Linked DNA regions of Saccharomyces cerevisiae S288C. The main gene of each other region encodes a partner of the protein of the gene in region 2 in a complex. Each region holds a gene or a part of one and is shown on either strand. Other genes may lie near its edges.

Region 1 (5,185 bases), on a different chromosome or scaffold from region 2:
TGACACTCTGGAATTCGTTATTTTCAGACATGGTTTGTTAAAGTATACAATTACTTGGGTTGTCGTTGCACTTTTAAATGTGTAGCAAATAAAGGCCTAAACGCAACAAGAAGAAAGATAAATTTTGAAATCTGTTGCATATATATATTAGTATATAAGAGACTGCATGAAAATGCGAACAAACGCATGCTCAACACCACTCATGCGCAATATCGTAGAATCACACACAACGAGAACGATCAGCTTGGCATCTTTGCAAAGTGACTAATTTTCGCTGTTCCACCACTATCGCACATTGCGCGACGTGATTTCTACGCGGATTTCTTGGAGCTGGTAGCTGCTGGTGACGATTTCCAGCGGAATTTCAACTCTGCCACTGACTGATCCTTGTTGTCAGTCTCATCATTTCAGCCTGATCTCTTCTCAAGCAGGCCGAAAAGCCGCCCGGTAAAGGATGTTACAACGGAAAGAGAAGTGCCATATCTTCATACTATGAGATTCTCAAGAGGTCAAAGACTCTTCATAGTTCAGTTGAATACACACAATTACACACACACACATATATATATATACATATATATATATATATATATATATATATATATATGTATACGCTTATGTATTTACTCGTAGGATTTGCTTCGTTCGATCAGCACAAGCCTTCAAAGATGATTAAGCAAGGTAAGCATACGATTCACCATCGTCTCCCCTCTGTAGGTATCCCTTTTGTATTAAGCTATCGATGGCTCTCTTGACCATAGAAACCTTTGCATTGAACCTTTGGTGTGATTGCGCAATGCATTCGTTGACCAATGTTGTATGTGGCAGATTTCTTTTCGCTTTCATTATTCTCACAATACAAGCTTCCAAGAAAATCTGCCTTTCTGTATTCAATTCTTTTTCTATTCTTTCGTCTTCCGTCAAGCGTTTGTTTCCTAACTTATTACCGTGATTATCGTGGCCTCCACCGGATAGCGATTGCAGAATGTCGTTTTTGACTCCGCTAGCGAAATTAATATTGGTCTTAAGCGCCTTATAAGGACGTGATAGCTTGAATTGTGTTTCAGGTTTCACGAGAGCATCTAGCCCTGGTGGGACCTGTTGAATCAGTTTGAATTTGATGAATGGTACCATTGCCGCTGCGATGTGCTGAATGGTTAAGCTCGTGCCCTCTTGAATATTTTCTAAGGTTAATACATCAGCATCGTTATATAGTAGCAAAATTGCCATTTGAAACAGTGTTACCGTAAAGTTGAACGGCATCCTGCCGGGTTTTCCAATATCTGCCTTCAATTCGCCACGACATAATGGCCATAGCCACTTCAATATTCTACCATTATGCTTTTGGCTGTATGACTCCTTCAATTTTTCGTGAGATGGTACCAATTCCTTGGGTAGCTTAAATTCAACTTCTTGGTATGAAAATGGCCACATATTTTCTGCCAATACAAATGGTTGTAGATCTGGATATTTTGCTTTAGAGTAATCTGGTTCATTCTTCAGGGCGACAGCAAAATCGTCTTCCAAGATCTTGGAAAGTCTAATATCTTGAAACATTTTAGTTATCTTGCCTGTATATTCCATACTATTTGCCGCTTGCAGCCTTTGAATAATATTTTCTTCGTCTTCTGCTGATGTTGAAGTGCCATGAATTAAACGCTTGGCGAAAAGTCTTCTATAATGAGTTTCGAACGCATCTTTGTCGGTCAAATATTTGAATATTGTTATAATATCTTCATCTGACATGTCACTTGCCACTTCAGGTTTGGTGGCCTTCTTTAATAGTATATCACTGTACTTAGCTAGCATCTCGGAAGTCTTCGAGGTGGCACTTTTTGGAGATCCAGCAGGTAATGCGAACTCGTTGATGTTGATGAAAGCACCACACGCATTATCTAGAGCTTTAGCTAAAGGTATGTCGTCGGGGAAACTTTCATTAAAAATCTTAGAGAATATATCGTGTACTTCCAGTAATTTCTTGATATAGTCTTTAGGAGAAAGGGAGTGAGCTGTCATTAGTGCTAGTTTTTTAGGGTTTGCGTTTTCGTTTTTCATAATATTGTGTTTATGCATTGCCAGTAGACTCGAAATTTCATTCTCACCTGTCTTTTTAACATAATTTTCAAACACTGAAGCCATTCTTGGGATTAATGTAAAGTCTCTGCGTATTAGTGCGTACAAAGAAGTAATTTTTTCAATATCTCTGGCATCCAGAAGGACAACAAACTCATTTTCCAACTTTTCAATATGGTCTGTGATCAAGACCTTGTTTAATGCCATGGATAGTGGTTTTTTTGTATGATCATCCCAATATATTGTCATTGCTTTTTCCTCACGTTTGATGATTTCATGTGCTTCAAAAATATACTCAGTTACCGAGTGTTTCTCTAAATAATCGTTTGTATATTGCGTGTAGTACTCCTGAGTCTTCTTTAAAAATGGCTTTTCGAAAACTTGGATGTAGACATTTAGGTTCAACTTTTTCAAATCCTGTGGATCGATACCTAGTGCAACTAAAGACTTTATGGCAGTGCTAATATTACTTCTTTGAATTATTTGCCCCTCCCTTCCCAAGGTTACCTGGTCTAATAATTCGTTTATTAAAACATCTTTACTCGGATCAAACATGACTTCTTTCCATGTCATCAAGCACAAGGTGTTTACATCAAAAATATGCCTTTTGCCGTCACTTCTTTCCTTTTGAACCCAATATCTATTCATATAATCGAATGCATGGTTTAAAAAAATGGCACCTATTGTAAACCTTTTCCAGCGCTTGACGTAAAACTGCAAAAAGGTCTCTGAATTAGACTGCTTAAAATTTAAAATGTAATTCTTCAAATAATTCTTTAACTTTTCGTAAATCTCACTGCCAACCAAAATTGTTGATTGGCCAGTTCTACTGTCAGTACTAAAATGTCCAGACGAGCGTGATTTGTTCACACAGTAGTTATAAATTGCGGTATAGACTTCCATATACATGGTTGGAGAAAGAATTTTGTAAACTCGCTTAGACGTGGATGCTTGGTTTTTCTCATTACCCAGTATTTGGTTAATTCCTGGCTCTATAAAGTTCCAAGTGGCCTCTAAATCATCAGATCTAGGCAGAGTCTCAGACATGCTTTGCTGCTTGCGATTTTGTTGTTATTCTTTGTTTAGGTATATGTAAGAATCCTTTCAAGACTCAAAAATGTACGCTTATTTATCGGTAAGTAGAAGCAATGTCGAATTGCTAAAAGAAATGTGTAACTGAGGTAAAATGTAATCAACAATGAAAGGGGTGCACAGAAGTTAGAAGATGCGGATGAAAAGCTCTAAAAGAGAAAAAGGACAATATAAAAGAGCAGTGATATGAATCAATTGCGTTGTAAAGTGAAGTTCTGCTGGGGTACTTTACCTAATGCCCTAGTTTTTCTAGATGTTCTATTTGCCACATTTCACTTCATGTGTGTCCATCAAACATCGAAATGAAAAAGGGCCCTTAAAACGGAAAGGAAAAGAAAGTGCAATAGCCCTCCCTTCGGGTAATACATATTATATCGCACAAAGCCTAATATAATCAAACCCGCCGTTAATGAATAAATGCCAAGCCGGAGTAATTTTTTAAGTCAAAAATATACAATGCATATAAATGTCAATCTTGGTATCTAAAAGAATTCTTTTAATTTCTATATTTGTCGAGCTCAGTTTCTGTTGGTAATTGAACTGACTTTTTCGACTACTCTAACAATACTGATCGAGAAAGTGATTACCCACATAAACAAGGCAACGAACAGAAAAGCGGATAAAGCTTCCTGTTTTCTGCAGATACGCGGTATTTTTGGGTATCCATACGTGCTTCCATTTGACCTGCGAATAGAAGTGCAAACCCACTCTTTGTCGAAACGAGTATTAAATGCCAGCGCTAGATTAGCGCTTGAAAAAATTATAAAAAGTAAGTCCAACAAAATTAGTTTCAGTTTGCTTAACGGATTCCTCAAACCAACAGGTTTACCAGCAAATTCATCGTGTGCAATGTAAATAATATACGCAATCGCCACGGCGTTGACGCAGATGGCCATTATGGTGCTTGGTTGTTGCCCGATTTTACTTTCACTGATGGTGTTATTTGATCTTGAGTTTTGAAAAATCTTGATTGCCAGAGCAAGTGAAATGCACGATAATATACCAGTGAAAATCCTCAAACCCAAAATCAAATATTGATTATCAAGTAATAGCGACGTCAAAGGAGGTCTCCACTGTTGTAACTTCCTTTGCTTTAACCTCCGCCACTTTTCTCTCTCTTTATTGAGCTCATTTACCCAATCTGACTTGTAAACTTTGTTGTGTACTGATTCGGGTGATTCTGGGTTCTTCTTATTATCACCGTAATAGAAATCTTTTACCTTTTCGATATATTGTAACCACTCTTTTCTCTCTTCTGTCGTGTTGAACTCTAAATTGGCACCTATTTCTGAATGTAGAACACCTTCTAGTCGTTCTTCACCTCCCCACTCGCTGCACATGTCACCTAAAATTTCTCTAAGAGCCGCATTTTTTGATGAGGTAGATGATGATAGAGAGTAACCATCGTAGGATTTGTGACTAGGATTGTAGTTTTGGTCTCTAGTGTATGCAGAATGACAGCCGATGGTAGATGCAAACTGGCCCCATTTAAACTCTTTTGGAAGATTTTTATCATCGGTAACATTTCCATCAACGGTGCCCTTATCCTGAAGTCTTAATTTATCAAACTGCGCCTCTAAAACATAAGGCGGCACTGTGGTAGGCACAAACGTGTAAGTATTTAATTTTGGATAGTCTAGTGGTGAACCATCACTGTGTTTGGGAACATGTATCTTTGCATTCTGTAATGCTTCCAGTGAACCTGACTTCCTTACTGTTTGATTTTTTTCAAGATCCACGTTTAAATTAAGTTGATTTTGATCTGCGATTCTAGAAGCGTTCGTGGATGTTGTATCAGAATACGCTTCTTGGCTGGAATTAGAATCCCCCATTAAATTTGTCAGTGTAAAAAAAAAGAACGCCTCAAAAAATGCAAAAAAATATCATTCACTTTCCCTTCTCAGCAATCTCACGGTTTCGAAATAGCAATCAAAGTATTTTTATAATTGACTAAACAAAAGGTGGTTGGAGACTTTGTGTTGTAGCTTAGAATTTCTTCCACTATATGAAAGCCAAGACC
Region 2 (3,857 bases):
GAATAATAACAACGTGCCCAGGAAGAGAAAACTAGCATGCCAGAATTGCCGTAGAAGAAGAAGGAAATGTAACATGGAAAAGCCTTGTTCAAACTGTATCAAGTTTCGTACCGAATGTGTATTCACTCAACAAGACTTAAGGAACAAAAGATATTCTACGACTTACGTAGAAGCTTTACAGAGCCAGATTCGGTCTTTGAAAGAACAGTTGCAAATATTAAGTTCCTCGTCTTCCACAATTGCTAGCAATGCTCTCTCCTCGTTAAAAAACAACAGTGATCATGGTGATGCTCCTAATGAAAAAATCTTAAAGTATGGCGAAACAGCACAATCAGCACTACCATCATCTGAAAGCAACGATGAGAATGAGTCTGATGCGTTCACCAAGAAAATGCCTTCCGAGAGCCCTCCACCAGTTGGCACAAATAGTATATATCCATCAAATTCCTTGTCTATAATAAAAAAGAAGACGGATGGAAGCACAAGATATCAGCAACAGCAGGTCAGCCTAAAAAATTTATCAAGAAGTCCCCTTATCTTAAGATCGTTGTCACTCTTTTTCAAATGGCTATACCCGGGACATTACCTTTTCATTCATAGAGAAACTTTCTTAAGTGCTTTCTTCGGTGATACTAACACTAAAAGTTACTATTGTTCCGAAGAATTGGTATTTGCAATCGCTGCATTGGGATCTTTGATTTCATACAAATCAGAAACTGAGCTTTTTCAACAATCTGAAGTGTTTTATCAAAGAGCCAAGACGATAGTACTCAAAAAAATTTTTCAACTGGAAGATTCTTCGTTAGCTGAATCGTCGTCCTCTTCGAAATTAGCAATCATCCAGACTCTATTGTGTTTGGCATTTTATGACATTGGAAGCGGAGAAAACCCCATGGCTTGGTATCTTTCTGGGCTGGCATTTAGGATTGCCCACGAAATCGGCCTACATTTGAATCCAGAAGCATGGAGTAATGTTTATGAAGACGAGCTGTCAATAATGGATTTTGAAGTGAGAAGTAGAATTTATTGGGGCTGCTACATTGCTGATCATTTAATAGCGATCCTCTTTGGAAGATCAACTTCCTTGCGTTTGTCCAATTCCACTGTTCCAGAAACAGACGAGCTACCTGAAATTGAGACTGGTATAGAGGAGTACATATATGACCCAAAAGTAATATTGTCCACTGCAAACCCCTTGAAGAAACTGATTGTGTTATCGAGAATAACGGAGATTTTTGCATCCAAGATTTTCAGCCCAAACGAAACTCTACTTCAAAGGAGTGAATACTTGGCCAAATTTAATCTGGAGGTATACAATTGGAGAAGGGATTTGCCCCCTGAACTACAATGGACCAAGAGGTCATTGATGGAAATGACAGATTTTAACCCAACCATAGCTTACGTATGGTTTCATTACTATATCGTGCTAATTTCCTATAATAAACCTTTCATATACGAAATCAAACAAAGCCGGGAATTGGTTGAAGGTTATGTTGATGAACTGTATTATCTTTTAAAAGTTTGGAAAAATAAATTTAAGACGTTTGAGAAGGCCACAATTTACATGATTTATTCTGCGATTTTAGCCATCCAATGCATGAAGTCCAACTTGATTAAAAAGGATAGAAAACAAGACTTCTTAAATTTTTTAAGTGCGCCTACCCTGAATTACGAACTTGCTAGAAAATTCATAGAAAACTCTGAAGATGCTTTGCATAATTCAGAAACTATGGATTTATTAGGGACTCTATCTCACGGTAACGATTTTGCCTTAGAGTACAATTTTGACTTTACTTTATTGAATGAGATTGATATGCTGATTGGTGGAAACACCAATGATGGTTTGTCGAAGTAATCTTGAGTGAAGAGGATATGTTTACTTGAACAAATATTCTTTATGTAATGTGTTTGTAGCCTTTTTATTTGGGAAGGAATATACCGCTATCCTTTCCCACCTCCGAACTTATCGATTCGGAATTTTAAAGAGCCTTCCAAATGACAAAAAAAAGGATTGTAGTTCCTAGATAGCGAAATCGACTGAGCAAGATAAAAGCAAACATTCCCCATCATCTTTGGCGACGACACATGTGTTCCATAAGCTAAACTCAAGGAGCAAATGATAGTAGATTATGAAAAGGACCCTAGGGCTAAAGAGGCTATTGCTATTTGGGAAAAAGGTGTACTGAAAGAGAAGGATGGGTCAATGTCAGATGCTATAAACTTCTATCGAAGTGCATTGAAAATCCATGATAATGTGGAATCACTGTACAGAAAAAAAATACTTGATGAGTGGATGCTGCACAAAAAACTATCGGGATTATCAATGACTACTGATGCTCCAGATGAACAAAATGAAACCGGTAAAGATGACTTATCTGTTGAAGAAAATGCTGAACTTCAACCCTGCTGGATTCTGGAAATCTTGCCTGACGACATTTTACTGAGAATTATTAAAAAAGTTATATTAATGTCTGGTGAATCTTGGGTGAATTTGTCGATGACTTGTTCCACCTTTAGCAAGCTTTGCTTCCACGATTCTGTGCCATTTAAAACTTTCGCGAAGTACATATATTCTAAGCAAATATACGACAAAATGGCAATGGATCTTAACGGAATCACCGATATAAATACCTTTGAAAAGGAAATATGGCGGGGTGATGATTATCGTATGTTAAGGGAAAGGCCATATATTAAATTCGAAGGTGTTTACATCAGTGTAGTAAATTATGTAAGATACGGTTCCAATGCAGAAAGTTCGTTATCTCTTTTAAAGCCAGTTCACATGATCACCTATTACAGGTATTTCAGATTTTATGAGAACGGCCAATGTTTGAGATTACTTTCTACAGATGAACCTAGCGCTGTCGTGAAGCACTTCTCCAAAGAGAACAAACCCAGGCATAGTCATATGTGTTATTGGAGCCTCGGATTTGATTATGATTTTGGTCATTTAAAGATAACAAGGTCAGATGAAAAGTATACGTTTATCGAAGAATTCCAAATCAAGAATCAAGGCAATAAGAGATATCAACGGTTGAAATGGCTAAGTTCAATTGTAGTGGATAAGGAAGGGAATGCATCTAACTGTTCGTTGAGAAATGAGAAATCTTTTTTCTTCTCCAGAGTGAAATCTTTCAAGGATCCTGGATGACATCGATGTTTTTTGCAGTTGTTTTACTTTATTTATTATTCTTATAGATTTATGTAGAACTATTATTTCATCATATGAAAGATTAAAGAAAGCAGATCTCAGCTTAAATAAATTATACTATAATATTAAAAAAAGATAAATATTAGATAATAAAAATTGAAAGACACACGTTGAAATATTTAGTAAGAACAACGTATCTATAGGTTTAATTCTTTTAAAATATACGATGCCAATTCTTTATATAGCCACGTATTACCAGAAACCTTTTTGAAATGTACACCTGCTAGGCCGACGATACGAACCTTTACAATGTGAATCTCAAATTTAATAGGAGGCCTTTCTTTTATACCAGAAGTATTGGTTTGCTCTGTTTGACCATTTACGTTATTTATATTTTGGGCTCTTGATGTTGTTAAAATATCATCCTGTTGTTGAACATAATCTAATGACATGGAAGATAGTTCCCCTGATGTACCATTACTTTGGTTTCCGTAGTTTGGAGACATTGGGATAGATGAATTTCTTTGATGTGTATTGGTCGCTAAAGGTGTTAGTGGTATATTATTCTGGCCCCTCTTATAAGAACCTTGGCGTTTTATCGAACTATTTCTTGATGCTGAGGACGCTGTACTATGGTAACTGGATGATAATTGACTGTCTAAACTATTTTGCAGATCCATCGCCTTTCCGGAATCCAAACCCACGC

The links.
Region 1: HRT3 (region 2) and CDC53 share a complex: the UniProt entries of both Saccharomyces cerevisiae proteins name them as parts of the probable SCF(HRT3) complex.

What each region holds. Positions count from the first base shown.
Region 1 is NC_001136.10:222,239-227,423, reverse strand, and holds CDC53 (cullin CDC53), read right to left. Parts: upstream 3,121-5,185; coding exon 673-3,120; downstream 1-672. Other genes in the region: homocitrate synthase LYS21, read right to left, coding at 1-31; SRF1 (phospholipase D regulator), read right to left, coding at 3,684-4,997. UniProt on the Saccharomyces cerevisiae protein: Core component of multiple cullin-RING-based SCF (SKP1-CUL1-F-box) E3 ubiquitin-protein ligase complexes which mediate the ubiquitination and subsequent proteasomal degradation of target proteins.
Region 2 is NC_001144.5:335,525-339,381, reverse strand, and holds HRT3 (SCF ubiquitin ligase complex subunit HRT3), read left to right. Parts: upstream 1-2,116; coding exon 2,117-3,151; downstream 3,152-3,857. Other genes in the region: CHA4 (Cha4p), read left to right, coding at 1-1,855; serine/threonine protein kinase KIN2, read right to left, coding at 3,349-3,857. UniProt on the Saccharomyces cerevisiae protein: Substrate recognition component of a SCF (SKP1-CUL1-F-box protein) E3 ubiquitin-protein ligase complex which mediates the ubiquitination and subsequent proteasomal degradation of target proteins. Probably recognizes and binds to phosphorylated target proteins.